Oryzias latipes: one gene and its partner. The protein of the gene in region 1 purifies or fractionates together with the protein of each later gene. This does not show direct contact. Links are inferred from orthologs where the notes say so. Each region holds a gene or a part of one and is shown in the gene's direction. Other genes may lie near its edges. The genes, in order: heatr3 and tmem186.

The links.
Region 2: the proteins of heatr3 (region 1) and tmem186 purify together in Homo sapiens (co-immunoprecipitation; 3 studies listed by BioGRID and IntAct, counting the BioPlex papers as one, with this or other methods). This does not show direct contact. The link is inferred for Oryzias latipes from reciprocal best matches to the Homo sapiens genes HEATR3 and TMEM186.

Annotation. Positions count from the first base shown.
Region 1 is NC_019861.2:30,454,907-30,459,310, reverse strand, and holds the start of heatr3 (HEAT repeat-containing protein 3), read left to right. Parts: upstream 1-1,440; 5' UTR 1,441-1,580; coding exon 1,581-1,721; intron 1,722-1,876; coding exon 1,877-2,049; intron 2,050-3,151; coding exon 3,152-3,239; intron 3,240-3,497; coding exon 3,498-3,598; intron 3,599-4,005; coding exon 4,006-4,115; intron 4,116-4,404. Other genes in the region: cnep1r1 (nuclear envelope phosphatase-regulatory subunit 1), read left to right, coding at 860-914, 1,009-1,050. UniProt on the Homo sapiens protein: Plays a role in ribosome biogenesis and in nuclear import of the 60S ribosomal protein L5/large ribosomal subunit protein uL18 (RPL5). Required for proper erythrocyte maturation.
Region 2 is NC_019859.2:36,188,098-36,191,448, forward strand, and holds tmem186 (transmembrane protein 186), read left to right. Parts: upstream 1-1,185; 5' UTR 1,186-1,324; coding exon 1,325-1,345; intron 1,346-1,798; coding exon 1,799-2,464; 3' UTR 2,465-2,533; downstream 2,534-3,351. Other genes in the region: gde1 (glycerophosphodiester phosphodiesterase 1), read right to left, coding at 560-829. UniProt on the Homo sapiens protein: As part of the MCIA complex, required for efficient assembly of the mitochondrial complex I.

The DNA of each region.
Region 1 (4,404 bases):
ATCTATCTTAGAGTAGACTACAATCACAATGCATCAAGCAACGTAACTTCCATGTGGTCCCATGTTAAATAGAGGTGGGTGTCAGGTTTCCTGCTTTAAATGTTTCCCTGCGTGCAACCATCAGGCGCGGTCAATGCCACGCCCCCAAGAGCCATATACCCCACTGTGATAGTTTGGCTCGTCAGCTTTGCACACAACACTGTAGAAATGTCATTCAGACAAAACTAATATATCATAAACTTATACATCATCTTAGGGGGCTACCAGTTTGCGACCCCTGAAGAACAGGGTCTTACTAGATAAAATACCTTTATGCTATGTACACACTGGGCATGTGGGCCGTTGAACGCAGGTTCGTTGAACACGCTTATAGTATGCTGTGTTCACACTGGACTGTCGCTACCCCGTACTTATTGCATGTACTCACAGTTAGAAGAGGCTTGGTGTGAAATGTCAAAGCTGAGATCTGAAATCTCGTGAATCTTGCTCCAGGCTTTTTCTTTAACGGTTCTTTTATACAATTTCTGTTCAAAGTAGGAACCAATTATTGCAAACTTTGAGATTGCAAACAGAATTGGTGGTTTATGAGTATTATGGGAAAGTTCAGCTTTATAATGACCTGGTTTGACATGAAAAAAAAAAACATCCTTCTGGCTCTTTTTTTGGGCTCTTTCCCTTTTGCCAATATGGCCTGAAAATAGGCTGTGAAGTGGATATTAAATACATGTTTAAAAATGTCCTTAAAAGTCTCAGATTTAACTTACAGAAACCTGTAGGAGCCATAAAAATATACAAAGTTCTTTAGATTTCTTTAACAAACCCATTTTCAATTGTTATCTTTGACCTTTGCCCTTTTAAGAATCGCTGCTCGCTGTCGCACGGTTTTAGCAGAATACAACATGTCCTGTGATGATGTGAGTTCATCTTTTTTTATTTAAACTGCATTCCTATTAAAACCCATTGTTTGGTACATTATTGATTGTGTTTTTTTGTTTACTTTATGTACAGACTGGAAAACTCATTCTCAAACCACGACCCAGCATCCAGTAACTACATACAATGACTTAAAGTATGATCACAAACTCTGAATCTTTCAACTTTTCCGGGCAGCGCTGAGGTGGAATTTGTCAACACAAAGCAAAGACTGAACTGGAGTTTTTAAAAATTGTGTTTCAGTGTGGAATTGAAGCTGCTGACATGCTCACAAAATCTTCAACTGTATTTTAGTCATTCAGTGTGAGTGCAGATGTGTTTATTCAGATTTCTGTTATGTGTTTTATCTGAGTATTTGTATTTTAAAACTTATTTGCTTAATAAATGCACAATGTGTGAATTTTTGTGTGTTTGTTTATGCAATATTTGGGACTTTGGTTTGGTGCGAAACTGGTTTTGTTTTTTTTGTCGCCACAACAGTTGTGGTGTTTACGACAGTGTCTTCTATCGGCAAGGATCGCTTTACGGCAGACTCGTCCACATGGCTTCCAACTCGGCATGATCGGAGTTTGAGCTAAAATCGTCAGTAAGAGTGAACCAAGGCGAACTTAAAATCGTGTTTTATGTATAGGTAGTCATTGATCGTCATGGGTAAAAGTAAAACCACGAAGTTTAAACGGCCGCAGTTCAACGCCGTCGGGCTGCCGGTGAAAGCCGTGAAAGAAGTTGACGAAGAGGAGGAAGACCACGGTGAAGATTGCTCTCCAGCCGCGGAGCTACTGGAAAAGGTGTTATGCATTTTTCGTTTGGGTTCCAGTTGTTCCCATTTTGAAGTGTCCTTTTCAAAATAGATGTTTATGGTCACGTAAATGGTAAATCCACGTGTTGTCGTGGAGAGTTACTGTAGACTTCGTTCCGACAGTCACAGAGTGTGTTTCCTCAGCTGCAAAGCCCGAACGCAGACACGCGTGAGTTTGCGTGCGCCAGCATTTCTCGGGTGGTCCAACAGAGCCAGACCATCCCCGGTTTTCTCCAGAGACATGCTGTCCGGCGCCTGGGCCCCTTGCTGCTGGACAACAGCTTGGCTGTCAGGGAGACTGCCGCCGGGGCGCTCAGGTAAAACAATCAAATCTTTACCTGGAGTGGAGGCATAAATAAACCTGTAAACAACACTGTCATTCAGTTTAAAATCTTTTTAATAAGAAAATACAGTTAGTATCAACTGTAAATCACTTTTAACAATGATTATGCTTTATATTTTGAGAATAGAAGGCGCCCAAATGTCCTTTATGATCACGTCCTGATGAGGCTCAAACGGTTGCTGGAGCCTATCCCATTTGTCTTTGTGTAATTGTTGGAGAACATTCCTCATTCTAATGCTCACACTCTATTCTAACAGACATTCACCATTAATCCAGGTTTATAGTTATTATTATTTTATTATTTTTATATTAAAATGTGGCACAAAATGCTCTGACGTGAGCTGTATTTGAAAATACTTGCTCCAAAAGATACCAGAGCTGTTACCAGCCCAGGGGCCTTGTGGTAGGTAGTGTCCATCCTGAGGCTGGAAGGTTATGACTTCAAATCCACGGCCGAGTCATACCTCAGACTCTATCTAAAAGTGGGACCAATGCCAGTGCATGACAACTAAAGGGACTTTGAATTTAACTGTTGATATATGCAGAGGGGCAAAAAGGTATTCAGTCAGCCACCAATTGTGCAAGTTTTCCCACCGAAAAAGATGATAGAGGGCTGTAACTTTCATCACAGGTAAACCTCAACTGTGAGAGACAAAATGAGAGAGAAAAATCCAGAAAATCACATTGTCTGATTTTTAAAGAATTTATTTGTAAATTACGGTGGAAAATAAGTATTTGGTCACCTACAAACACACAGGATTTCTGGCTCTCACAGACCTGTGACTTCTTCTGTTAGAGGATCCTCATATTTCTGTCCACTCATATTTCATTGGCTTCACCCCTTAATAAGCCACAACACAAACTGGAGTGATGTTAGAGTTTGCATATACTGGGAGTTAACTGGTGGTTAAATGGAACTCTTCATGTCCTAATGCAGCACATAATGCTGCTTAGTATGACTAATATTTAATGGCATTTGAACTTATCTGACGCTTCAGCGGGGGCCGCCATGCTTTAATAAAAGGTCATGCAGTGAAAGTAGCACTTTTCAAATGTGTCTCGGTTGTGTTTTACAGGAATCTGAGTGCATGTGGAAATCAGGAAGTGTGCGAGGACATGGTGAAGGAAGACATCATGACTCCTGTGACAGCGCTGCTGACAGAGGTGAGAGCTGTCGGCTTCCCTCCACACACTCCTCATTAAGGGCTGTCACGGGAGGCTGTAGTGGCCGCCGCAGTTGAGTGTCGTTCAACAGCGCAAGCAAAACCGTCTCGTAAAAAAGAAGAGCTCGTCAAGAACTGGAGCCGTTAAAGTCTAGCTTTTGTTGTAGGGAAGTCTGCATTAGAAGCTGTGGTCAGTGTTGGATTTGTGTTAAAAACAAAGTGTTGTTTGTTTTTTTAAGCAGGTTTGTTTTGCGTCCAGTGTTGCGCAGGTTTTGACAGCACCGTGGTGACGATGAAGGAACAGAAAAATGCTGTGGAGGATGTTGCCAACGAGGCGGTGAACCTGCTGTGGAACCTATGGTAAACCAGGAAGTTGTGCTGCTTTCGATGACACCCTTTCCTACCAGTGCTTTTCAATAAAGACCCACTCGGTCATCTATTGATCTGTTGTAAAAGTGTTCCCAGTGGTCTTTTAACTATAATTATGCCATTTTTCGCCAAAATCATTGTCGAGAGCTTGGAGCAAGCTTGTGGCCCGCCCAGTATATTTGCGACGCCACAAATAAGCAATTTTTCCAAAAAATGTTTTTGACAAACAATGTGAGTAAAGAAATACTCAGAAATCCAACATATGTCCTTCCATTTTCAGGAAAAGTGCCACAAGAACATGTTAAAACACAATTTTCAATGGAGTGGGTCTTTAACAAAGTTTGTAAAACTTTGCAGCTTCTGCTATTTTTACCTCAAGTTGTCCTTTTCTTTTCCAGTGAAAACAGCAGCCAGGCGCTGTCTGTTTTCAACAAATCAGGTCTCCTGGATCTTGTTGCTCAGTGTCTGGAGAGGCACCCACGTAATGTGGAATTGGCTGTTTCAGCAGGTACCTAAAACCCACAAACTATTCCTAATTTTTCTTCTTTTTTATGAAAATATTTTTTTTGTGAGTTTAGATCTGGTGACATTTAACCTTGAAACCGAAGAAACAGAAACATATGATCAAATTTAATCTCTCTATTCATGATTGTTCTCATTTCTTGTAATTATCACAGACTAAAACTGAAAAGTTGCGGTTTTCACAGCTGTTCTTTCGCCATCTTTCTCAGTGGGCTGAGTCCTTTTAACCCTAAACACATTTGAATAAAAACTTTATATCTCACCCCAGAATCAAA
Region 2 (3,351 bases), on another chromosome or scaffold:
TGATTCATTAAAAAAATACATGTTTTTGGTAATAATTGGTCCAACGCAATGCATTGTGGTCTATATTCGCTGATCTAGTGAGCATCATGCACACTGTTTTTTAGCAGAGACTTCTGGGAAATTTCTAGGGCCCTGGATGTTGGAATGGTAGATTTGGACAGCTCTAGTCAGGACATGTCCGATAACGTAAGCTCTTTCAAACGGTGGGGCTCCTACATATTTGGGGTTGCTTTGCCAAATCTTGCAGTTGCTTTAGCAACTCAAAGCTACCGATGGGCGCCGCCCCCTGTCTACGTCACAAATACGATCTTTTTCCAACAGCATTTTTTCGTCTGCTCCTGATCCACAACGATTTGAATAAAAAAGAACTCAGGAAAGCAGTTATATTCTCAACTTTCTTCATATTTGTCCTTCATCACCATAAAAAAGCCAAGAGATCAAGTTAAAAACACCAGAAACGCCGTTTTCACCAGAGCTTTCACAATAATGTGACACTGACTGACGTGCGTCTCCACGTGACACAGGACACCGTGAACACCTGTAAAGACATTCGTCTCACCTCTCTGATGGCAGCGATGGTGTTCTCCGGCGCGTCGTGCGCGCCGCCCCGGTGAGCGATCACGGACACCCGCGCGCTCTCCGCCCCGCAACCCACCGGCTGCAGCACGAGACGGGCTCGGCTGCGCGCCACTTGCGGGAAACGAAACATGGCTAGAAAACAGTACAAGGAAGTGGTGAGGACGGCAGACCACAGCGGACTTCGGGTCCCCAGTAAGACCAGCACGAAGACCAACGAGTGGAGGGCGACCTCGTCCCCCAGCGGAAGCATCGCGGCTCCTCTCCTGTCTGGAAACAGCTGGAGGAAGCGGAAGCACCGCCCGCGCGTCACTCAGACTTTCTAACCTGTCTAGGCACAGATATTCGCCATGGCACAAGCTCCGCCCCGCTGACTTGTGACGGCATCGAACGTGTAACGAAACCGGCACATTCGGCGTCTTTGAACACAGCCGTTAACGGCTGAAGCTGATCGATTCTCCCGTCGGGCCGGATGTGCTCCGTCAAGTCACGACAAAATAAAAGCCTGTAGTTTTTAACCAATAAAAACAATTTACCACAATAAATATAAAACATTTTTTTTCAATAAAATATGGCTATAAATACTATCAGCACTTTAAAACGCCTTACGTGGGCCAGCCAACCAAACAAAATGTGACTTTGAAATAAATTGAAGTAATAAAATAAAAGACTAAGAAAGGACTTCCGGGTCACTGGTCGGCTAACAGATCACTTCCTGTTCTCGTGTTGCTGTATTTTATCTTATTTTATGTCCTTGTCTCCTGTCCTGGTGAGTCTTTTTCCTCACGTTTTGCTTGTAGCAACAAAACTTCATTCGTCAATTAAGATGTTTCGTCTTTATTTATATTTTATTTATATACTAAACAGTTCTGGAGGTTCGACAACTGTTCAGAATGAACTGTCTCTAGTCTCAGCAGGTTACCTTTTCCAGATACCAGAGACGAGTTCAAAACCAGGAATAAGACATTTGACTTACAATACCATTTAGCAAATTTAGGAGGAATTACAACTGTTTTAGTTGACTGTATTGCAAATGTTGTAGTTTATCCATCCCAGATTTCATTGAACATGTATGTTAGAGTCTGGTTGAACTAAACCAGACCAATATCATACCAGTAACTTTAAATCACTTTATGAGATATTGGAAGAAACTAACCTTAACTGCTTTTCCGTCTCTCAGCATACTTCGAAGGATGTTTTTCTAAGTGAAGTTTTTTCTCAGATGGAGTCGCTGTTGCTGCGGAGGCTGACGTCCCGCCTTCTGTCATGTACCAGAGGATCCTGTTTGCTCTCAGGACGGATTGCTTACACCTTGGAGTCTCCTCCTTCTCCACACTCCTCATCAGTTCAGAGCCACCCTGGACCCGTTCCAGCTAAAGTTCCCACTTTGATCCGACACTACGACTCGCCCACCCCCAAATATTCAATGATTTACACCCTGCCACACATTAAGTTCCTCAGGGCGGTGTCCAGACTTAAACTCCTCCAGACCGCCATCACTGCTGTCATCCTGCCTCCAGTGTTTGTCCTGTATTTCCAGGGAGCCGTCTCCTTCTTTTTGGTCAGCTACTCCACTGGAATCGCTGCGTTTGCTGGCGTCATGCTGTACACGCTAAGCCATTTCTTCAGGAGGGTTGTAGGAATGATGTACCTTGATCCATCTCAAACCGTGCTGAAAGTTTCCCACCTTACTTTCTGGGGAAAGCGCAGTGATATGTACATTCCTGTTTCCGATGTTATGACCATTGGAGATACTGGAGATTCAGCGAATGAGACCATCCTCCGGCTTCAGAGGTACAGCGGCCCCGAGACGTTGTATTTCTCTGTGTATTTTGGAAAGGTGGTGGATAGACAGGGCTTTGAGAAAGTATTTGGAAGTTTAACATAAATTCTTTGAACTTTTCTTGGGGGGGGGGAAACTGTTGTGCTGGAAGTTAATAAAAATGTAAACATATTACAGTCCTGACTGTTACCTTCACATGTTCAATGCTAACTAAGGCCGAATCCGAATTCCTCCTCTACCCCTCCGGCTTCTCCCTATTCCTCCAATTGTTGGGGCATTTGGAGGGTCTGAAATAGTTTAAGGGGGCAAACCCTTCAAAAGGGTGATCCTGTAGAGGAGAAATGCATTTCTTCACTTGGGTTTGCTCTGAAGGACTGAAGTTAAGGACTTTTTGTTTTAGCGTCACTCTTTAACGTTATAAAACTGATGTTAGGAATTTTCCGAGCGCTGACGGGGACTATGGATTATGTCGTCGAGTGGGAGTGATGCCCGAATCAGGAGACAATATTTTCCCATATCCCTCCGTTTGGAGGGCTAAATGAAGGGGTAGGGAGAAGCCGCAGGGATGAGGGAAGAATCCGGATTCAGCCTTAGACATCTGTCCGCCATTTGTAGCAGATTTTTCCTGATTGGACACACGGAGTCCAGTTTCAGGATCAATAATTGGTTTTCTGAGCTAAATGAGTTGTAGAAATCCTAAAAGAAATGTTCTCAACGATTAAAAAAAATCCTAGAAATAGATATCTTGGAAGGATCACTCTTCAGAGGAAACCTCAGCTCTCAGAGAAGAAAAAGAAATCCAGTCATTGGGTTGAATCCGAATTAATTCGTTACCCCTCCGGTTTCTCCCTACCCCTACATTTATCCCTTCAAGCCCAGAGTTTTGGATAAACTATTGATGCTTGATGACATCATCAACAGTCGCCGGTTATCTAGGTTAGTGCGTAGCTGCCGGGGCTTGGTAAATTACATAACATCAGTTTTATAACATT